Linked DNA regions of Lepisosteus oculatus. The protein of the gene in region 1 interacts with the protein of each later gene in a biochemical or structural test. Links are inferred from orthologs where the notes say so. Each region holds a gene or a part of one and is shown on either strand. Other genes may lie near its edges. The genes, in order: ahr1a, nr2f1a and aryl hydrocarbon receptor nuclear translocator-like.

Region 1 (7,936 bases):
TACACAGGCAAAATCCAATTAATGGAGATGATTATTTTTCTCTGTGAGCTTTGACACGACTGGTTTTTCTTCCCCTGGTAGTCCTCAAGCAACTGTCCACAACACTAAAAAACACAAGTAACAGCAAAAGTGCAGCATGCAAATGCCACTAAGAAAATGAGCACACGACAGGATAATACTCTATGCGTCACTTGAAAATCTATCTGGTCTGACTGTTGTGGAAATGAAGACTGACTCGGATGCAAATTCTTAAGATGTCAGTTCAGTACGTTGATCTAATGCCGAGGTCTCTCTCTCTAAGTGCTTAATGTGGAAGTGCTGTAAACAAACAGGTCACGTACTCTCAGGCACAGAATGGCACATTCTGTGCACTATTTTGACTTATCAACAAGCCCTTTGATTCATTCTTAAAACCCTGCTGCTTAATGGAGTTATGGAAAGCAGCGCATTGCTTGACTTGTCCTCTTCTACCAAAATAGCTTTGATGCCGTCTAAACAATAGGGACTCTACCCTTTTAAAAACTGCACAAGGCACCGGCAAGAGGCCCATCCAGCAGAAAAGGTCTCATTTTAGAATCTGTGACTCACGGGGGTGTTAAAGTTTTCATTTGGGCCAAACTATTCCAAACAGGCTACACTGCCCGGATAGAGCCAAGATTTCACTGGCCATATGAAAGGAATCTGAATCATTTGTACCGTTTTTTTTAAAAAAAAAAACCTAATCTTAAAAAAATCTTTTGGTGTTTGAAAGAGAGGCTTTGGGTTGAGGTTGTGGTTTAATCTATGGGTTAGAGTTTCAGGTACGTCAAAGAACGCTGAATGTAACTTAACATTCAATCCCACTAATGAGCGATGAGCACAACTCCAAAAGTATGTTTCAAGCTTTAATGTCTCGCCCGTGTTAAGAGTTTGACTGTTCTCTAAGAGAGCCCAAGTAAAGCGCTGTATTTCTCATCAATCATAATATGCAGGGATCTGCGATGCCTTCCCTTTCCCTAATGCTAATGCTAATAAAAGGGCACCGTGGGCACGGATGAGTTGCGTTCGACTCATTTCTGAACCGATTTAAGGTTTTGCTAAACCGACTTGTGGAAATGCGTTCAAGCCGCGGATAACACGTCTCCGCAACCCCTCGGGTGCAGAACAGCAGATGCCGCAGAACGTGTCACATCATCATATTCATATGTGTATCCCTTTCTCATGTGAATCCACACGCGTCGGTAACTCTGTTCCCACCCCGCCGCACACCGGCACTAGACAATGCTGGTGCTGGCTGCCCTGCAGCTATGAAGAAAGGTGAAGTGCACCAAATATTCCTCCCAGGCCTGATCTTTCCACATGAATATTTTAATAGCTCTGGAGATGGCCAGCATTCGGTTACTTTTTGGGGGAACTCAAGCCCTGCAAAAGTCGGGATACAATTTGGGCTTTCCAGTGCAAGCCGAGCTCCGGGCGACTTCATCCGACCATTTAGCTGCGTCATTAGGAGGCGTTGATGAGCTTTCCAGGTCTCTGCTCGCCACTGTCTGCACAGCTCTAAGCCCGATGCAAGTCGGATATCTACAGCATGTACATGCAAGCAGACGGCAAAAGCGCGGAAAGCGTGGCACCGGGAACTGGAGGGGGTCTGTCTCGCCGTGCACACCAGACACGCCGTCCTGTCGCCGCTCCGAGGCGGGGACCGTCGCCCGGCCTGTGCGGGTCTCCGTGGATCAGTGCCGAGCCAGCAGGCTTAGCGGAAAGCGACCGGACCGAGGCCGTGCATCCGCCCAGCCCGGGGCACGGATGGGGCTTGTGCACGGCCAGGGGCAGAGCCGTGTCCCAGGGCGGGCGGGCAGGGCACGGCTTCAGGGCGCCTGTCCTCCGCACGGACCCCGCCAGGGCGAAGTGGGCGAGCAAAGCCGCGAACGGTTCCAGATGCTAGCACAGACGGGCTGGGTGCGTCACCGGCCGCCAGGGGTCCGAATACCATCTCTCCCATTTCACATCCCCCCCCCCTCCCCTGCCCGGCTGGAGGACACGGCGGTCCTGCAGGTGTTGCGCCCCGACCCCTCACGAACAGACACACGGCGTCTCCAGGCCTGTCGCACCGGCTGCGTAAAGGCCACTCCGGCCGCAGGGCTGCGGCGGCGGCGTCTCCGGCCTCCCGGACCAATGCGAAACGTTAAGGAGGCTTTGGGTTTGCTGGGGGGGGGGGGGGTTCTACTTTGCTACAACGACAACAACAACAACACATAAGTATTTCACCCCCCCCGGATAAAAAAAACGAAAAGAAAAAAATCCTCCTAATCTCCGAGCGAGCAACGCCACGGAGACCTCCGGCTGCCGCAACACGAATCAAACACGCGAGACGCGCACCTATTTGAAAAGAAAAGCCGGCAAGACCGTCCGACGTGTTTGGAAGATCGTTTTGGGGGGGGGGGGGGTTCTTTCTTTCTTTCTTTCGGATGCATAGGCGTGCTTGCGGAGGGTCCTACCTCTTCTGCACGGGCTTTCTCCTCTTCCGACTCGCGTAAATGCTGCTCGTACTGTTGCTCATCCTGGTCTCTCGGCAGGACACGAAATTCCCTTTCGCTTCACGGCCCTTATCGCTGTCGCCGCTGCCGCTGCTGCTGGTGGCGTTGGTATCAAGGTTATAGATCCCACAATCCCTCCCTCCTCCCCTCCAAAAAAAAATAAAAAAATCAATGACAACCAACAACGACGACGACGGCACTTCGCCTTTCACAAAAATAAGCAGGGTGTCCTCGACAGGATCGAGGTGGCGATCAAGAGGGGCGATTTTCTGCTAAGAACCATGTCCCGTCGCGGGAAACCCTGTCAAACCTCCCTCCTGTCGTCGTCGTCCTCCTCCTCCAGCGACGGAAAAAGGAAAAGAGAAAAAGGTCACCGCAGTAAGACCGTGAACTTGGTGCTCGCCGGAGCGCCTGACGCAACCGAGACGGGCTGTAACCGCGCAACTGACGCGCCCGGGCTCCTCGCGCCCCCCAGCTCGAGCCGCTCTCTCCTCTCCACGCGCGCTCCCCTCTCCCGCACGTGACGGCTGCCGGGCGCTCTCCCGCGGCCAGGTGTCTCGAGACAGGGGCACCACCTGAGCTTTCCTCCCCTCCCCCTCTCCTCCCTTCTCCTGTTCTTGCTCCGAAGGATCGGGCCGACTCTCTGAATCCGCACGCTGCTGCTGCTTCGGGTTCCTGCGTCCCCTCCTCCCTGCCAGCAGACTGGTCTCTCCCTCTCTCCTTCCCCCCTGTGCGCGAATCAATGTCGCTTTTTGCGAGCTGGACGGACCCAGGTTACACACGCCCAAGCATTGCGTCCCGGCCCCGATGACGCTGACGCACGCCTGGACGTCGGGGGGCGGGGCATGGGCGTGGGAGGCGGGTGTCCCGGCGCGGCGGCCATCTTGGTGAGGTCGCGGCAGGGAAACGCAGCCTGCCGGTAAACTGCGCGGTTTAGATTAGCAGGCAGCGTTTACCAATTCGAGGAAAACTGCATGCTGCGATACGGTTGTAATTTTGCGGTGACAGAAAAATCACGAACTGCAAATCCCAATTGAAGCAGAAATAAAACTGTAGATACCAACAAAAGGTCATACAAGAGTGGCGTGGGCGCTGTGGTGGGTTCATTCTGATCATAATAGAATCATCTGTATTTTTTTTTTCGTAAATGTGGTTTGATCGTCTGTCTATCTGTCAGTGCTGCAATTTCCCCAAGTATTAAAAAGCGTGCATTGACGCTTAATACCCGCACGTCTACGAATTGACGTCATTTTTCTCGTACTGTACGGTATTAAAAGGAAACAATATAGGATTAGCAGGATTAAACCAGATTCAAATCTAATGTGAAGGAACTGATTGCTTAGATTATTTCTGTGGATATATTATTTTTATCGCTCCAGCAATACAGGGAGTTGTTTTGCATACCTAATTAGATCATTGAAGTGCCAGAGGAATCGCGGATTGAGAAAGTCAGGTGTTCTAATTTTATTTACTTTATTTAAATATTTTTTTTACGCTGGGGAAATATAATAACTTGGTGCATATGCCCTATAAATTCGAGGCTTTCCCCTTTAGTCTTTAGTTTCTCAATTTACCTCAGCTGGTGATGATATGTGCGCTATATTTGGATAAATGTGTGCTTTAGTTTATGTTACCTGCGTTTAAATTGGCCCCGACAGGCTGTGAAATCGGATCGTAACAGATGTATATTCAATTTACACTTAATAATGGGCCAGAACGCCCCCACATAGCTGAGAGACTGAGAGACGGTGCCCCTGTCTCTTGCTGTACGGCTCTGATAGATTGCTGCTGCGTCAATAGCATATCCAGTTTCTAAACAGATCCGCGTTATTTCATCAGCTCCAGTGTGTTTTTCTGACAAAATACCCAAGAGCTCTCAATTAAAACACGGCACAACGATATCTTTCACAGAGACACAAACCGGTCATCTGTGTGTTGCCGTCAATCTATAAAGTTCAACATATTTAACTTATTCGTGAAGTCCTGTAAGGTCGACGTGATGATGCAGTGGTTACCACTGCTGCCCCACAGTGCTGGGGCCTGGGGTGCTGCCTGTGTGGAGTCCATATGATCTAATGTCCAGGTGCTCTGGTGTCCTCCCACAGTCCAAAGGCTAATTGGCTACTAGTCCAAAGTTGAATTGGCTTCTGGGAAAAGTGGCCCTGCTGTGTGGGTGTGTGTCCCTGTGTCTGCTCTGTGATGGACCGGCGTGGGTGTGTGTCTCTGTGTCTGCTCTGTGATGGACCGGCGTGGGTGTGTGTCTCTGTGTCTGCTCTGTGATGGACCCACATGGGTGTGTGTCTCTGTGTCTGCACTGTGATGGACCGGCGTGGGTGTGTGTCTCTGTGTCTGCTCTGTGATGGACCCGCGTGGGTGTGTGTCTCTGTCTGCTCTGTGATGGACCGACCGGCGTGCTGTCCAGGGTGCACCCTGCCTTGTGCCTGTCCCTTGCTGGGATGGGCTCCCCTGTGACACTGTACTGGATAAAGACCATAGCATGAAAGCAAAAAATATTGTACATTATGAAAGAGCTGTACTGTACTCTATGTTATGTTCTTCAAAGAGAAAAATATTTAAGATTAAAAAAAATAATTTCTGTCAAGACATCTAAAATCGTAAAATGAAACAAAATGGCCACAATAACAAAACAAGTCACAGGACCTACAGTACGTGCGTGCTTTCAGATATCACTGGGTGGCTCTGGAGCTGAACCAGGAAGCTCCTGGTTTCATATCCTTTGTGTCAACCACTAAATTAAACTTAGCCCGCCAAACATATCTATTGCATTCTCAGCAAATTTAAATAAGAAACAATATAGCAGCCATATTGCCCTGCAACTCGTGGCTTCCTGTTCCCGTCTGAACGGGCTTCATCACGCTGCTCTCCTCCCCACTGAGAGCTAGTGTGGGGGGAGCGTTCTGGAGCATCATCCAGGTGGGGCTGCACACTGGGGGTGCTGGAGGGGATCCCCATGACCTGTAAAGCGCTTTGAGTGGAGTGTCCAGAAAAGCGCTATATAAATGTAAGCAATTATTATTATTATTATTATTATTATTATTATTATTATTTAAAAACTGCCACTGTTAAATGCTTTCCCAAAAAATACGCATTCTGTTCATAAAACCGTAAATGTTTGTGTTTTCTACACGTTCCACATGAACATGAAGAGAACATGCAAACTCCACACAGATGGCAGCTCAGGAATCGACCGCAGGGCCCCAGTGCTGTGAGGCAGCGATGCTACGGACTACATCGTGCTGCCCTAATTTTATATTTGAAACGAGAGACGCAAAAGAAAATGAACATGCAATAACAAGCTGATCTCTCATTTCATCTTCTTCTTTCAAACCATTTTCTTGAAATGCTGAATGAGGAGGGCTATCATTATGAAGATGCCATACAGTTCACTGGTAATGTGCAGCATTTGTTAGAACTTACATTCATTAGCTTGTACAATGCAACATCATTAAGAAACCTCCTGGTAGTTTTTTTCAATGTTTTATGAACCACATTTAAGTGTAATCCAATATCTGACCGAGACAACTGATTGCATTTTGAAATTCCTAATTGAATTCTACAATTTGGAATAATGCTGGGGGCAAAGCAGACCACTGTAAGTGAACAAAACAGTCGTTAATTTGTTTCTGTAGTGTTGCAGGAAACATTTTATCAGGAATAATTGCAAACAACTTGTCTTGTTTAAAGAAAATAACGAGCAATTTTCCCATGACTCATGCGTCCCTGTTCCTAAAGCTCATAAAGATTCATGTGAAATTGGAGCCATACACTGCCATAATGAATTTCTTTGTCTCTGGACGAGCCAGGGTTATAAAAAATTGGCTTTGAACTTTGGACATTTGAAACTTTTACAATAGCTAAATATATTTCTGTGTGTAATATGGTTATTTAGCATTGCCCGACTAGCAGCAGCTTGGTTAAATACCCATGAGTCTAACTCCAAGGCCTGAAAGCTCAGAATAAAACAGGGAATTTGTATTTTGTCTGTTTTCTGGCTGCAAAATATTGCGTCATGGTCTCATTTAAACCCACAATTATGGTGTTAAAAATGGAATGTCTCATTGACAGTCAGAACGATCCTAGACACATAAATGTAAGGAATTCAATCAAATACATTTGTATAAAACTTCGGTTTTGTTATGTCATTTCCTATGTGCATGTCTTCGACATTTACAATTTTCCCTGCAAAAGTATTCAGACCCTTGCAGTTTCTATATTTTGTTGCTTTAAATCGTGCAGAAACGACACTTTGGAATTGCGATAAATATTTGTTATAGTATATACACAATGTGCCTCACACATAAAAAAATACAAAGAAAAAAAAACACAAAGATCATTAATATAAAAGAAAAATAGAAAAGCTAAGATTGGATAAATATTCAAACCCTTTTCTGTGGTAAAATTTAATGAATACAGGTGCACAAAATTACACAAAGATCAGGAAAAGAGTGCAAAAAGATTTTGTAGTGTTCTCCCTTCTTATATACCCCTGTGAGCAAGTGCACTGTACAGCATCGTGACACCCAGACGCTGCCTGGATCCGGCAAAAATGGGGCAAAGTTTCACATCCATTGAGAGAGAGCTTTGGGGCACCCAGGTCATTTTGGACATTTTGGATCTTTCTGTTACACTGTTATGCAAGGAATCGGACCACAAGCACATCTATTTCCCTTATGGCCGTGGGGCCTGTGTACATTCCGATAATTTCTTCCTGCCTGGTGACCTCTGCCCAAAGAACTGGAGTCGGGCCACGCACTTCGGTGATGGACCAGAAATCCACAAACCAGGGTCAGAAATCAAGTTGGCATAGAGTGGAGGTGCTCTCCTGTTGACTCCCGATGAAGCAAGCAGTTGGGAAATATCATGTTTGGCTTTGTCAAACATGACGACCTTTATTTCATGAAAAATGTTAACTTGTGCTGTAAGATTGTTTAAAAAGAGTTTATCGTGTGGATGGATCCCAATTTGACATCCAGATTATAGTAATCTGATTTCTTTGTCTGTTTTCATCCATGATCTACAATTAATTGGGTTTGGTAGATTCATTTAATACCCTGGGTTTAAGTACATATTTATTCTTTAGTTTAATACTGTTCGCTTCAAAGGATGTACCAACACACCACTGGCATTTATAAGGACATTTTGTGGTGGCTCATCCCAAATTAAAACTGAAAAAAATTTAGATCATTTGGCAGTACACACTTACAAATCACTGCTGCAGTACACCAGGCTAACGCTGAGCCTTAAACATTTTCAATGAAAGCAGGGAATGACCTGACACAGCATATATTCTCATCTGGGAATCTCTCGCATGGATGTTGCCTGTGCACTGAAACCACATTTTGTAGCTTTTCTGCAAAAACAGCAGATCTTTTCTGTACAGTAGGTACAGAAGTGCCCAA
Region 2 (7,510 bases), on another chromosome or scaffold:
GTGCAGGGCCTTGAGCTTCTCAACCTGCTCCTGGAAGATGCGGATGTGGTCCATGAACGCCACCACCCGATCCGCGGACATCGGCGAGGCGTGGAGGCCGGCCGCCGCCAGGAGAGGGGCCACATGCAGGGGCATGGAGCACTGCGCCGCGTTCAGCACAAACAACTCGCTCCAAGTCAGCCTGAGCAGAGACACCTGGTCTGTGATCTGCAGGTCGGGGAAGAAAGGGATGTTCCGGGCCCACTCCACGGCGCTGAAGAGCAAGCGAGCCGCCAGCTCGCAGATGTTCTCGATCCCCATGATGTTGTTGGGCTGCATGCACTGGCTCCCGTAGCGAGAGGTCGGGTAGGGCTCGGCCCGCAGCAATAGCGAGATGTATCCGGAGAGATAGCAATGGCCGTTCAGGGGGTCCCCGTTCGTCAGCGCATACTGCCCTGGGTTCGGCTGGGTCGGAGGCATTCTTCCTCGCTGAACCGCTGACAAAAAGAAAGAGAAAGGAGAGGAAATGTGCATCCAGGGCCGGTAAACACAGAGTTTGTGGACAGGAGATGAAAAAATAAAAAAAAAAACCCTTCGTCGTGTCTTGCTTCGACCCTGCGTCCAGAAAAGCCCTTTTTACAGCCAGTCCGTTACAAAAAAAAATCTCCACACACTGATCACGATACCCATAAAACAGTTCTAATCGTATTTTTAAATAGTTAAAAAGGATCCTTAAATTTAATTTTAACTTAGCCCTGTTCACGCACCAGTCCTCTTGATGTATATATATATACTCTGCTATTGTGCAGAAATGGTTACATTTCAGAATTTGTTTTTCATGAAATTCATTACTTACAATATGAAAACATTAAGGGAACTTATGGCACGATTTCTTGAACGCTGGTAGAAGGAAGTCATTCAGACATCTATACACAGTGAATACACAACTGTGTAGCTGCCTAAACACAGGATTCATTAACCATCTGAATGCAAAGCGCAATCATGCTTGCATTTTTAAGGACGACTACATATTTGTTTCTTCTCTGCCTCATTTTCCCTTAGAAGTCTTAGACACATTGACACAATTACAAGGGGACGGACTGAATTATTTTACAAATGAATTTATATACATATAAAATTTCGCATCTGTTTTGAACATCAGATGTTGTGATTAGGAAATAGTGTAGTGAAAGAACAGAGATTGGAGCTCCTGGCTCATATCTGCGAAGTTGCAGAATTCGTGAAATCGAAGGAGAATTGCTGTTGTTCTCACCATGAAACAGATCAGAAATACAAGCCATCGCTCCTCTCCCCCATTGCATCCTCGACCAACATTCAACCAATGCTGATATCTAACAAATTATTATTTTTATTGGTATTGTTATTAATCAGCTATTGTACAACACGATTTATAAAGAGAAATACACGCCGGAGTAAGTAAAGCCGCCAAGTTTTGTACTGTAACCAGGTCCCTCGGTAATATTATTATATATATATATGGGTCAAATGGGGGGCTTTTATTGTTACAAATCCGAAGATTACGGCAAAAGTAAGCAATGCACACGACGCAGAAAAAATACCGTGCAGAGCTGAGACTTATCGAAACCGTACTGTAACAGTCCAAATACGACTGCTTTGTTTAAACCCCCTAATGTCCCAAAAGGATAAGCTTGTCCGCCGTACAGCTTTAACTGTAAGAGGGAAAAAAAAACAAGGCATTATAAGCTTAAAATTAAAGGGACGGCAAGCGTGTAAATATGACAGGAAAACTACAATTATTTCACCCTGCACGACAGGGCGACACGTCTGGGGGAATCAATAGCAAGAGTTTTATAAAAAAATATTCACCTTCCCGCCTCATGCCCACTTTTAAACATTTCTTCAGTCGGCAGTACTGGCACTGGTTGCGGTGGTGCTGGTCGATGGGGCAGTTCCTGTTGGCACGGCATGTGTACGTTAAGTTCCTTCGGACACTCCTCTTGAAGAAACTTTTGCAGCCCTCGCAGGTGAACTGACCGTAGTGCTTCCCGCTGGATTTGTCCCCACAAACCACACATTCAATATGCTGTTGATTCTGTCCTGAATTCTGCTGGCTCTGCCCCTTGTCCCCGGCGGTGCCTGGCGTTGACGGGGGTCCCGGCTGGCTTGGTGTCTGCGGAGTGTGCGGGGCTCCGGACGCCGCCTGCTGCTGCTCCCTCGCCGGCTGTGCTACTGGGTTCGGGCCGCTCGGAGTTCCTCCGGCCACGTCTTCCTGCGTATCTCGCCAGACGCTAACTACCATTGCCATATCTCGGGCCCGAAAAGTGCTGTAAAGCGAGCGGATCGCTGGGGGTTTTGAGAGGGGGGAAAAAACGAGATTTCAGACACGGGGAGCGCAAAGTCAAGCCGGAGCAGGCGATCACATAAGACAAAGTGGGAGAAATGGACGATCAATACATTCAAATTCGAAGTGGCGAGAGGAAAGGCACCCGATCAGGATATGCAAGTATCGGGAGGCCAGTTCCAAGGTAAATTGCAGTCAGCCATTCAGGAAAGCTATCTTGGAAAATGAGGGAACGAGAGCTTACAGATCACAGAGTTTGCTTTAAAATAGCCTAATAGTAGGCAGGACGGATTCACTGAGAAGCAGAGAAATAAATAAAAAAAAAAAACACGCGATCCAAAGTATGGCGAAAATAAATCCTCTTCTTTCTTCCCGGCTCCTTTTACTCCAGTCTTGACTGGTGGAAGTAGAAGAAAAAAAAAAACGAAGATCGGAATTTTCTCTCTGATATATATATATATGTCTTTTAAATAAAACTCATCTGGAACAAAAACAACAACAACAGCAACAAAAAAATAATAATAACGTCGCTGAAGTGCCCCTGTAGTTTCACCTCTCCAGCAGGAACGGAGCGAAAGAGAAAAGATAAAAAAAAAGAGAAAGGGAAAAAAACAACTAATAGAATATGCAAGGAGGAGAGACCCAAAAATGAATGCGTTTAAACGGGAAGACCAGCAGAGCAATGTTTCCGAAACGGGTATCTGCGCGAATGTCTGTATATAGTGAACTTTGACACTACTATTGAAACTGACACGTTTCTATGGAGATCGCTGCGCCTTATATGGTGTTCATGTCAAGGAGCCAAGCGAGGGGCTGCTGGCGAGTGATATCAAAGGCGAGTGACTGGTCAGAGCCCTGCATTGGGGGGGAGAGAAATGAGAGGCTAAGGTTAGCCAAGCCTCTTTTACTTCATTGGTTAGAGTCCTCGTTCCTTGCTACCTACGACTGGGGCTTCTGACAAGCACCATTTACATCGAGCTCGCCCTGCGCTGCTATTTACTTTGAGACCTGATTAGTATGGGTCGTCTATTGTCACAAAAAAAAAAAAAAGAGAGGAAGAAATCCCGGATAGAATAGCCAAAAAAAATAAAATAATATATATATATTTTTTTTAGACGGGGAAAAAAAAGCGCACGTGAAATAAATAAACAGGCTGGCGAAGCGCAGCGTCTCCGGCTGAACCCCGGAAAGTTTGCCGGCGGATTGTTAGGAGCCCTTATCTTAATTATTAATGCTTATACCCAGCACCGTCCCCTCCGCCCGCCAGTCACACACAGAGTTGCGGGGAGAGTCGCTGCGGTGTGTCCGCGCCGCCTCCGTTCTCGCCACCGGCCCGGGAAGGGGAAAAGTAACGGTCGCGAGAAAAATAAAGAAATGGTTATTTATTGCACAAACGTACGGACGTGAGAGCAATTGCAGGGAAAAGGAGGTGGGTTTCAATGCAATGTGTAAGTTCGGATGTGGAACTGGAGAAATGTGCCATTTTGTAAAAGAAATGCTTGCTTTTAAAACAGATCCTTATCACTTCCGACATATTTAGCTGTAAGGATTATTACTAAAATCAAGTGAAAGTTGTCACCGGATTGTATGAGGGAATCTGATTGTAACTGTACGTAGTTACTGAATCCTGTGCTTTCCAAACCTAAAACAACTGGGTCCGGGTGCCATCTAGCGTACAGTACACAATCTCAGGGTACAGTACTGTATAATTTATTGTGATTATATATTCTTCCAAACCTTTTAAAGAAATATCTCCTCACGTTCAGCTTCGCGTTTCGGTTTAATTTTCTATTCGCTACGTATTTCAGTGCGTTAATTATACAGTTTAATTGCAACAAATGTTTTATGATTGCACACTTTCCTTAAGCAATGTAAACATCCAGAACAAGCAGCGTGTTTGCAGAAGGCTCTATAAAAGGCACAGCAGTAATAATCACATCCTTGTGATATTGGTGCGCTTTTATCATTATTGCATCGTCGGTGTACTTTATTTTTTTTTTAAATAGCTCGTCAGCGACGAAACAAAAAATCTATCATGGGAAGCAGGAAAACAAAACACTTAGCCTACATACTGTATATGCTGTGTAGTTTTATTATTTTTTTCGAGAAACGTTGAAGTGCGGGAGAGCTCCTGAAGTTTTATTTATTTATGTACAAATCGCAGAGGTAGAACAATGCATTGCAGTGCGCTCCCATTGTACAATGCACAGCTAGTGGAAAGGAAAAGGGTGTTATTCACTCTGCAACAGTGGTCGTTTTCCTCTCCTCTCACCAGCGTACCAAATACACTGTCCATGGCTTCTGCTTAGTGAAAAGGTGAAACGAATAAGATTAAACCAGACAAAGGGAAAGTTCTGTAAGTGTATCATCAAGATTTTACTCTACAGATTGGGACGAGAGAGAGAGAGGAGGGCGCATAAGAGACGACGGGAGAAGGATAACGCGAAAACGCTGAGGCGACTGAGGAAAAGTGGACAGTAGGACACTAAAGAAAGGCGCAGACTGTACTTCCAGAAGAGTGGACAGCAGCCGATGCACCTGAAAACTCATTTCAGCCCGGCAAGTATGTGCGTTTTGTTGATTTTATTTCAATTCAAACACGTGAGACAGTTTTATAAGAAATCACGATTCAGCAGAGCACTACCTTAGCCAATACATATGAACAAAACCGTCTCTGTATGAATGTATAGGCAGTCCTAGCTCTATCAATAGGCCTATATCTATATCTATATACACGCCTTTGTGTTGTTGTTTATTGCTCTAGATCTTTATCTGCTCTTATTTGTCCACTATTTCTGCCATTAGAGCGCACAGAGCAGGAAAGAGCTATATTTTCCAACTTGTAAGCTTCTCACCTGCGTTGTTTGTTGTTTGATCATATAATGAAAAGATCGATAGCCGCGTGTTTGTTTAAACTGTCGTGTCAACGGACCACAGGACAGCAATAAGATCGACTTGGTCGGAGAAAAAAAAAAAGCGGAGACGATCAGGCAAAGCCCAGCTGACAAACGCTGGCTGACTTTCGCAACCTGCATTCTTCTAATTTCAAAGCACGATTCTTACAGTCGACTGTAAACGATCGTACAGGCGTAAATGGCGCAAAGCTTTGCACTAATTCTGTGACTGCTGCTATTTCCATTCCTCTCGAATTCGACCCCGAACAGAGTCGCAAGGGTAGCGCAGCCAAGAGTATTGCCAAGTGACTGTCACTAACCGGTCGTTTTGCTCATCTTTTCAGCCTCTAGGTACATGAGAACAGTAAACACATTTCCACAGGACACTTCCAATATATATATATATTAACTTTCTTTCTGTCTCCCTCATAAACGCTTAATCCGCTGCTGAGAAAAGTTGTGTACTGAGGAAAACTCGTAAAGCGGCCTGAGACGGAAATCTCTTTAGCAGGGACCCGAATTATTTACCTCAATTTGAAATTTACTGCTTTGAATGCATCCCTTTAAACGCGTGTAACACAGCAGCAAATTCTATGTCAAGTACCAGAGTGTGAGAAAAGAGACTACATGACATTTTATAATGTAACTCCGCAGGAAATAAAAGTATTTCATTAAAAAATAATATCCATCACGGCAACACATTTACCTGTAACCACACACGACATACAAGTATACTCGTATACTACAAGTATAAATGCTTCATTGACCGAATAAGTATGCACAGCGTTTATCTCAAAGTTGTGTGACTTACTCCGATCTCAATTAAAGAGGCAGCGTAAACACAACAAAAGAAAGTATAGTCCATATTTCCAGCCAAAAACGTGACGCCAGCATCAGGGAACAGGCTAATAATAATAATAATAATAATAATAATAATAATAATAATAATAATAATAATAAAACAATCAGTTACAAAACAGTTTTATACATAGAGTAACGCGCACGATCAGCTATACCTCTATAATCAGAGTCCTGAATTATGTAAAGGATGTTCAAGCAATAATTCAAATAAAATGCACATGAGTTCCAGCTTACTACTTCTGTGCTGACATGCACACGTTTAGTGGGTGGTTACAACAATGCAAACAGTTCTTTCTTTTTCTGAAACTATATATTTTTTTTCACTGTCTGCTTCGGTACTTTAATGACCTGTCCCTTTTTGCGTTCTGTTTTGGTTTTCGTTTGGTGATCTAGTTGTCACACGCTAAATTAAAAGGGATCTATCAAATCGCTGGACCATTTAGGTTAAAATTAACGTCGGCTTTTATTGCTTTACACGACTCTTAAAGGCCTCTGTCGAGGAGACACCTGTAAAAACACGTCTTATGTTTCTCTACCACGAGAAAGAGTTACAAATGACCAAGACAGCCGATCTCATGTACATTGTCTTCGCCTTCCCATGTCTGTTTACATCTGCTTTGAACTGCTCGGCCAATTTGCACGCGTAGGACTTGGGTGATGTTTGAAATAAAACCATTTAACCGCATCTTTCGCTTAAGATCCACGATTTCTCGCGCAAAATAACGCTGCAAATACGATTTGTTGCTCTAACCGAAAACATGTATTTGAAAAACATGACAGGACTCCTAGATTTCGCTCACCAGCCGGCAGCACGAGGTGTTATTTTCGGTAGAAGGAATGCAGGAAAGAGACGGCCAGCAATCAAGTAGTGAGAAAAAAAAAGTAGACAATGTTTCTGAGTTTGCACCATTTCAACGCTGTTAATTTAAAATTCACTTTAAAACTTGTGTTCGCTTTTACTATGCGAGACAAGTGATATATGGAAGTTAAACACTAATGGTGTAGTCTGCAGCCTTTGATATATACACAATATATAAAAAAACGATTCCTATTATTGGATACGAACTCCTAAGATAGAATCAATTAGCCAGAAATAAATACAACTCATCATCAAAACCTGACAGATCTAGTTTAAGAGATGTGCAAAATGAATTATGCTTTATGTAGGGAAAACTTTAAACTTCTATATAAATATTTTATATCCAAACAGAATTTAAAATTAAATCTAAAAATACTCCACGCGTCTTTGATTCTAAACGGATCCTTCGAAACACATAAAATGACTTGTATTAACTTTTAATGCGGATTTGATCTGAAACACTTTAATTATGCATAACACATAAATGTTATCTTTTCCATATATTTAACTTTTTTAAGCTTATCAGAACAAAGGGGAATTTTATCTTGTTGGGTCTGATAAATTATTTTCCGATGCCCTGAGATATTAGAGGCA
Region 3 (8,000 bases), on another chromosome or scaffold:
CTGGTGTTGACACCCCACTCTGACAGTGTCCTGGGATCTGTAGTGACCAGTAGTCAGGACACCAGGGTCAACACCCCACTCTTACTGACAGTGTCCTGGGGTCTGTAGTGACCAGCAGGACTTCTGTTTAACATTAATACCGAAGGAGTACACCTCCTACTGCTGAGTATCTGACCTAGAGATGAGTACACATGTTACGTGATGTGGCGACCTTGTGGCTGCAGGACAGAGGTCCTACAGTGTTCTTGGGCTTCGGACACCGGACTATAGCAGAAACCTACACAGCGAACGTTTTCAGGTGTTCAATGATGTTACGCGTAGAGCAGAACTAATTTTACACAAAAGGTTGTTGAAGTTCGTTGAGATCACTACTAACCTCACGCACGTTTTCAATTTTCCACACTTTTAGAATTAGCAGCAGCTTCGGCTGCGAGACGAGACGAAACGAGGGGTACTGATTTAGATCCAAAACCTTTGCGGAAGGAAGACTTCAAAATATAAATGTATTTTAAAAACAACTCGTCATCTGCATTGAGCACCTCCATTGAAGGCGATGAAGGCGGTGTTACTGCGGCAAATGAACGTCATGGGAAATGTAGTTTTTTATCTCCCGCAATTCTTTAAATACGAAGGAGAGTTACGACGAAGAAAACATCAACTCCCAGCATACCATGCGCTGCGCTCGCAGGGCGCGCGGGTCTGACGTAAGGTGAGGGCGAATTTAAAACACCTCATCGCGTTCTTTTAATTTCTCACAAAAAAAACTATATAGTTACATATTTGTGATTATATGCAGTAAATATGAGAGTAAGGGGTTATCTTTACGAAATAAACGTTGTTACCGAAAGCCATAATTTGGACAAATTTAGCTGTAAGCATTCGCTCTTTATCGCAGATGTCCCCTCTCTACAAAACGACGTCTGCCCACCTGAGAAATTAACGACAAACGACTCCGGTTTTAACCAGAATTACCTCTCCTTCCAAGGCGTTTCGCCGGTAGAGGGTCACTGTAGATATTACTCTTTCGCTATTTCATAAAGAAATTTTTGAGCCAGATTCCAGTCTCCGAGCTTGTCTCCCTTTCTCCCCCTTCCCAGAGAGAGTCCATGAGGGAACACGCCCACTGCAGTCGTCGCCACGCCCCCAGACCTAATGAGCGCCAATCAGCAATGCTGATCGACGTGAGTGATAGGGGAGGCAACCAATAGGCTCCACAGTAGCGTGAGGTAAGAGGAAAGGCCCCTCCGACGATGGCAGGTTTGTCCAATAAAGAGCGCTAAACCGTGATAGGCGTCGGTTTGAACCAATCAGTGCAGCCAGAGGTTCTGGCGGGAGCTGACCTGTCAAGGGTTTGTATGCCTAGAGTTTACAACACGTGGTCGAAGCTCTTCTGTAATTGCTGAACGCATTATTCTTGAGCAGGGCAATGTGTAAGCAGCGTGGCTGTCAATGCCTGGCACAGATACCTATAAATGTACAAGAATCCACTCTGTCTCAGTGGGTCAGTGCACTCCTCCTGGTCAGAGCTGGGAATTCTGAGACAGGACACAAAACACAGTCGTTCTTCCAGATCCTTTTATTTCAGCAACTCCTGGTCTGGATAAAACTGCACACTGCTCCCCATGGTCCAGCCCTGCCCCGTCGCCCAGTCTACCGCCAGTCTCCCAGTCTACCCCCTGTCTCCCAGTCTACCGCCTGTCTCCAGCTCTGCCCCCTGTCTCCCACTGTGCCCCCAGTCTCCCAGTCTACCCCCAGTCTCCCACTCTGCGCCCAGTCTCCCAGTCTACCCCCAGTCTACCAGTTTGTCCACTGTCTCCCACTCCGCCCCCTGTCTCCCAGTCTACCGCCTGTCTCCCACTCTGCCCCCAGTCTCCCAGTTTGTCCACTGTCTCCCACTCTGCCCCCTGTCTCCCAGTTTGTCCACTGTCTCCCACTCTGCCCCCTGTCTCCCAGTCTACCGCCTGTCTCCCACTCTGCCCCCAGTCTCCCAGTCTACCCCCTGTCTCCCAGTCTACCCCCAGTCTCCCAGTCTACCCCCAGTCTCCCACTCTGCCCCCAGTCTCCCAGTCTACCGCCTGTCTCCCAGTTTGTCCACTGTCTCCCACTCTGCCCCCAGTCTCCCAGTCTCCCACTCTGCCCCCAGTCTCCCAGCCGCTGGGGGTGCTGCTCTCAGCCTCAGTTGCTGATCTGCTCCTCCTGCCAGGTGGAGGTGGGGATGGCACTGTAGGGGTCGACCACCATCTGGGCGCAGCGCACCACCGTCACCAGCAGGAAGAAGCACAGCAGGAAGAGGAAGGCCAGAGCGAAGCCCTTGTCAACGTCCACCGGGAGCTGGGGAGGGGCATCCGTGTCCATCTGGACCAGCTGTCCTCCTGGTGTTACAGCCCTGTTTCTTAACCACTGGACCAGCTGTCTTCCCGGTGTACCAGCCCTGTGTCTTCACCTCTGGACCAGCTGTCCTCCTGGTGTAACAGCCCTGTGTCTTATCCACTGGACCGGCTGTCCTCCTGGTGTAACAGCCCTGTGTCTTATCCACTGGACCGGCTGTCCTCCCGGTGTAACAAGACCTTAACACCTGGACCTGTCAGGTCTCCTCACTTGAGCAAAGTCTCGTCGAACTGGATGAACTCCATGTTATTACTGTAAACATATTAAACAATCAGAAAAGCCCAGGAATCAAACAGCAGAGTGACCCGCGGGTCTCTCGGTCCGCCCCAGGCAGTGTGCGTGACAGGCAGTGCGAGAGTCGCTCTCTGACGCCAGTCCGGTCCTCCAGCGGGGTGGTGGCTCAGCAGTGGCCCAGTGGGATCCAGTTCGGTTTGGGTCCCAGCTACAGGCTCAGGACCGGGGTTCTGCAGAGCCCTGTCGAGACTGAGAGACGCAGGGGGGTGAGTCCCATTGTGCAGGAACGGGAGGGGGCTCATTATGGAACGCAGGTACGGGTGACCCCCTGACCCCTGACCCCTGACCCTGGCGCTAACACCTGTACAGGGCAGCTAGCTAGTGAAAGCAGCATAAACGTGCCCTGAACCCAACACTGTCACACGCTGGGGAAAAACGAAACAATCCTTAATCGGAAATTCAAGGAATTTTAACAGCGTATGCAGTGACTTCTTGCCTCTCCGAGGCCAGATCCCAGAACTCCAGTAGGGAACATGGCGGATCAGCCGGTGTGTGTGTGGGAAACGGCGGCCTCACACTTACCCATGCCCTGGTTAGTGTGTGTGGTCACACAGCGGCGGTATCGCCTCGCCGCTCGCTCCTGCCTTCGGGATTCGGGAGGGTCTGCAGGGATGCACTGCTGCCGGAGCGATCCAGCTCGTTCTGGACCTCTGCGCTCGGCTGCGGGAGTTTTCCTCGTGTGCGCCACTGTCCCCCCCGGCTCATGAATACTTCAGCACGCTCCTGGTGTTGTCTTTCGGCCCGGCCCGCTGCCGAGGGGAACCCGATCCCGGCGCGGTGCCGCCGCGGCCCGCTCCACAGAGGGCACCTGCTCCGAGCCGTGTAACCCGGCACACGGCAACCCGTCACGCTTCATGGGAGTACTGGGAGACAGGGGCCATCCCCGTGGAGACAGCGTGAAGCCAGCCAGCTCCTCTTTCACAGACTCTGGACCAGCAGCAGACACTGCTAGTGTACTCTTTACTGCGTTTACCCTCATCTCACTGGGCTGGACTGCACTGGACTGTGCTTTTACCCTGATCTCACTGAGCTTTACTGTACTGTACTGCACTTTTACCCTGATCTCACTGTGCTTTTACCCTGATCTCACTGGGCTGTACTGCACTGTACTGTGCTTTTACCCTGATCCCACTGGGCTATCCTGCACTGCACTATGCTTTTACCCTGATCTCACTGGGCTTTACTGCACTGTACTGCGCTTTTACCCTGATCTCACTGGGCTGTACTGCACTGGACTGGGCTTTTACCCTGATCTCACTGGGCTTCACTGCACTGTGCTTTTACCCTGATCTCATTGTGCTGTACTGCACTGTACTGTACTATGCTTTTACCCTGATCTCACTGGGCTGCCCTGTACTGTGCTTTTACCCCGATCTCACTGGGCTTCACTGCACTGTACTGTGCTTTTACCCCGATCTCACTGGGCTTTACAAAGGACAAGATTTCTGTGACAAGTTATTCAGTGCAGGGATGAGTCAGCAAACAGCTGCCCCACGGCCCCTTTGCAAAGCTAACGAACAGGAATGATAAGCAAATGTTTTCATAATACTGTAGGATTTAATGAGCTGCGTTACTGAAGCGGATACCCTGGTTTCAAATTCAACTTCTGAAAGAGCTTTATTGGCATGAGAAGAATGACGTGTTACCAAAGCAGACACAATCAACACAATATTTGCATACACCACATAAAACATTATTGTGAGAGAGGGTTGGGGTTTTCTTTAACGCTTCTAGGATCAATTGACGGAAAAGTAGCTCCTCTCCTTCACCTTTTGTTCCTGTTCTCGTGTTTGTGTTTATGTTAAACACTGAGATTGCAGGTCTGTACTCGACATAATTAATCAGAAACTCGCCTCTCCACAAAATCACTCTCTCCCTGCAGGGACCGCGGAGGATGACAAATACCAGATGTCGAAATATCTTTCACAACAAGCGCATTTCCTGTGGAAAAATACAAAAGATCTCGATTAAAAACACTCAAACCGCCCCAGACTGTCCCTTTAAACAATTCTGTGTGGCGTCACCGATTTCGGCCCGCCCCCTCAGATCATTCTAGCCTGGTGTGAAAGGCGGGATCTCTCTGTTGCCTTTGCTAGATTCCGAATCTCTATTGGCCAAAAGAAAGGTACGTCCAATCTTTGTCATCACTGATTGGACAGAGGCACCGCCCATCATTTTAACACGTTTTTAATCCGTTTTGTAATCAAAGAGTTCGGTTGACGCGCGGGCCTCCGCTCCAGACTGCCATCTTGTTTCAAGGGAGGGTTTTCGCTGTGTGTTTTTTTTAAAAAACAAAAACATAAGAGGAAAAAAAGTATCTTTCGAAAAATAAGAAAAAAACCGACAACCCGTGTCTCACGCTGTCCCACACCGTGCGGAGGCGCCGAGGGCTGGATGTTTTCTAACGTTCATGGCCTCGACTTCGGCATCAGGTACGAAGCCCGTCGATTGCGTGCGGCCCCTGGGCGAGTGTGTGTCCCGGGGGTGTCAGAACAGGCCTGCCAGCCCTGAGCCCTCACGGGGCAGAGCCGGGGGCTCTGGGGGTCACCGGGCGGGGTTTTTTTTTGGGGAGGGGGGTCTTTCCGCTGGAGCCCGGCTGTCCGCCACAGCCTGGACAGCCCGGTCACTCCCGAGCCCACAGGGACGTCTGGCGAACCGGAGGGAGGAAACCTCTCTCTCCTGTCGCTGTCCGACTGACTGGCTGTCGCGGGAGGGTTTCGCCGAGGCGATGTCTGAAGCCGGCTGGGTGCTGGCACTGGGTGGGTGCGTGGGGAGGGGGCTCTCTGTGACTCGCGTCGCGCTGGTCCGTTCACTGGCCAGGACAGCAGCTGAAGCTAAAAGGAAAAGCGCTTCAAAGTGTCAGAGAAGTAGCCTTGATGATGATTCCCGACTGACAGCACTGTAAAACCTGGAGTGGATCAGACTGCTGCGCACTGGGAGTCTAACTGACAGCACTGTAAAACCTGGAGTGGATCAGACTGCTGTGCACTGGGAGTCTGACTGACAGCACTATAAACCCTGGAGTGGATCAGACTGCTGTGCACTGGGAGTCTGACTGACAGCACTGTAAAACCTGGAGTGGATCAGACTGCTGTGCACTGGGAGCGTGGCCCGTTTCCTCAGGCACCGATGTCTGGGCGCTCTGCGGTCTCGCTGTGGCCGGAGACTGACACTGTGTGACCCTCCTTCTCTCTCCCTCTCTCCCAGACATGGCGTCGGAGGTGTCCGGGCTGAGTGCGGGTGGGGCCCCTGGTAACCCGGGCCTGGGCGGGGCTGCCGCGGGCACCATGGTGCAGAGAGGGGCCACCAAGAGACGCGCTGTGTGAGTACAGGGGCGATGTGCTGCCTTCTTTTATATAGTGCCTTTCAAAGCAGCTTCTCAAAGCCCTTTATAGTAAGAAAGCAAAATCATTTGAAAGAAGACGATGATAATAATTGACACTTATATAGCGCTTTCCTGGACACTCCACTCAAAGCGCTTTACAGGTAATGGGGATCCCCCCCACCAGCTCCAGTGTGCAGCCCCACCTGGATGATGTGGCTGCAGCCAGAGTGCTCCAGTACTCTCCCCACACACCAGCTCTCAGAGTGATGGAGCCAGTTCAGAGAGGGGGGTTATTAGGAGGCCCTGACTGGTAAAGGCCAGGGGGAGATCTGGCCAGGACACTGGGGTAACACCCCTACTCTTCTCAAGAAACGCCCTGGGATTTTTAATGACCACAGAGAGTCACGACCTCGGTTTTACGTCTCATCTGAAAAACTGAGCCTTTTTACAGTATAGTCTCCCTGTCACTATACTGGGGCATTAGGACCCACACGGACCGCAGGGTGAGCGCCCCCTGCTGGTCTCTTTAATACCTCTTCCAGCAGCAGCCTCAGCTTTCCCAGGAGTCTCCCCTCCAGGTACACTGGCCAGGCTCACACTGCTGGGCTGCAGTGGGGCTGCCAGCTGGGAGCTGCAGGGTGATGTAGCTGCTGGCCACAGAGGCGAGGCTGGTGGCACAATTCAAAACAGAGCAGTTGGAAGCAGTAGAAGGTGCTGGAAGTCTATGCGGACCTGATGCACTGTCTGCCCCAGGAGTGTGAAGGGCGTGTTGAGGGGTTCTGATGGAATAATCAGCCCGACGGCTCGCAAGCAGGTCAGGAGGGTGTTGTGTTCTGCTGTCTGCGGGGGAGTGTCACCGGCCGGGAAGAGCCGTTTTCATCGTTCAGATCCAGGCCTTGCGCTGCTCGGGGCAGGTCCGGTTTCCATTTCAAGTGCGGCGCGGTCTCGCCCTTTGTGTTCCGGTGCGGCCCGGTGGGCTGCGGTTTGGTGCCCCCCCCGTCCCGCGAGCCGGGCCCTGACTCTCGCTGTCTCTCCGCACAGACCTGACTTCGATGAGGACGACGACAGCGGCGGCGGCGGCGGCAAGCTCTTCAGGTGGGCACCTCTCCGGGCAGCGAGGTCGCCGGCGCTGGGGCTGGAGGGCCGCCCCTCGGCCTGCTGGGTGGCGCCGCGAGGCGGAGGAGGGGGGGTGTGAGAGTGCGTGAGCGTGCTGGCAGAGCTGTGTTTGTGTCCGCTGCTGTCGCCGTTTCTGTTCGGTGCGGATGCGGGACGCCTGTGCTGGTCTCTGTGGTTGTGCCCTATTAGCAGCAGTACCAGGGGACTGGTGAGGGAGTAATCAGTGCACTCTCCTTTCTCCTCCTTCCCCCTGCTCATTCTCCCTTTCTCCTGGCTGCTCCTCTCTCTTCTCCCTCTCTCGCTTGCATCCTGCTCCTCCTCCTTCTCTTGTCTCTCGCCTTTCTCTTCTCTCTTCTCTCTTTCTTTCTTCCTCCTCTCCCTCTCTCCCCTCCTTTGCCTCTCTCGTCCCTCTCTTTCCCCCCTCCCCCCTCCTCTCCTTCCCCCTCTCTCCCCCTCTGCAGGTGTGATGATGACCAGGGAGGCTCCAACGACAAGGAGCGCTTTGCCAGGTAAGCCGGAGGAGTCTCCCCTGTCGGGATGCACGCTGTCCGCAGCCTGAGCGCTTCCTTCCGCTCCGGGACACGAAGAGCAGCCGGCCGACAGGCGGGAGCGCGTCCCAGCGCGCGGGGCCCCGGGGGGCCGGGGGCTCCCCCTCTCTGCGCCTCCCCTGCTGGCGGCGCCGGGTTGGGTCAGCCAGCCTGTTGCTCTTCGGATCAGGAACAGGCCCTCCTGGAATGTCTTTCTCTGGTTTTCCGTTTGTCACAGAGTGCCCTGTCGTTCTGCGTCTCTGTATTCTTACGATTGAAAGGCATCAGACTCCTAGAGCTGCAGAGCAGTCCGAGCCACTTCAGAGTTTACTGACGCACTGACTGACTGA

Evidence for each region.
Region 2: the proteins of ahr1a (region 1) and nr2f1a form a complex in vitro, tested with the Homo sapiens proteins (2 studies listed by BioGRID). The link is inferred for Lepisosteus oculatus from reciprocal best matches to the Homo sapiens genes AHR and NR2F1.
Region 3: the proteins of ahr1a (region 1) and aryl hydrocarbon receptor nuclear translocator-like form a complex in vitro, tested with the Homo sapiens proteins (14 studies listed by BioGRID, with this or other methods). The link is inferred for Lepisosteus oculatus from reciprocal best matches to the Homo sapiens genes AHR and ARNT.

The regions. Positions count from the first base shown.
Region 1 is NC_090705.1:2,282,267-2,290,202, forward strand, and holds the start of ahr1a (aryl hydrocarbon receptor 1a), read right to left. Parts: upstream 3,289-7,936; 5' UTR 2,540-3,288; coding exon 2,478-2,539; intron 1-2,477. UniProt on the Homo sapiens protein: Ligand-activated transcription factor that enables cells to adapt to changing conditions by sensing compounds from the environment, diet, microbiome and cellular metabolism, and which plays important roles in development, immunity and cancer.
Region 2 is NC_090698.1:73,493,996-73,501,505, reverse strand, and holds the start of nr2f1a (nuclear receptor subfamily 2 group F member 1-A), read right to left. Parts: upstream 3,143-7,510; 5' UTR 2,267-3,142; coding exon 1,828-2,266; intron 477-1,827; coding exon 1-476. UniProt on the Homo sapiens protein: Coup (chicken ovalbumin upstream promoter) transcription factor binds to the ovalbumin promoter and, in conjunction with another protein (S300-II) stimulates initiation of transcription. Binds to both direct repeats and palindromes of the 5'-AGGTCA-3' motif.
Region 3 is NC_090722.1:6,977,332-6,985,331, reverse strand, and holds the start of aryl hydrocarbon receptor nuclear translocator-like, read left to right. Parts: upstream 1-4,885; 5' UTR 4,886-5,092; coding exon 5,093-5,114; intron 5,115-5,889; coding exon 5,890-6,004; intron 6,005-7,048; coding exon 7,049-7,102; intron 7,103-7,584; coding exon 7,585-7,632; intron 7,633-8,000. UniProt on the Homo sapiens protein: Required for activity of the AHR. Upon ligand binding, AHR translocates into the nucleus, where it heterodimerizes with ARNT and induces transcription by binding to xenobiotic response elements (XRE).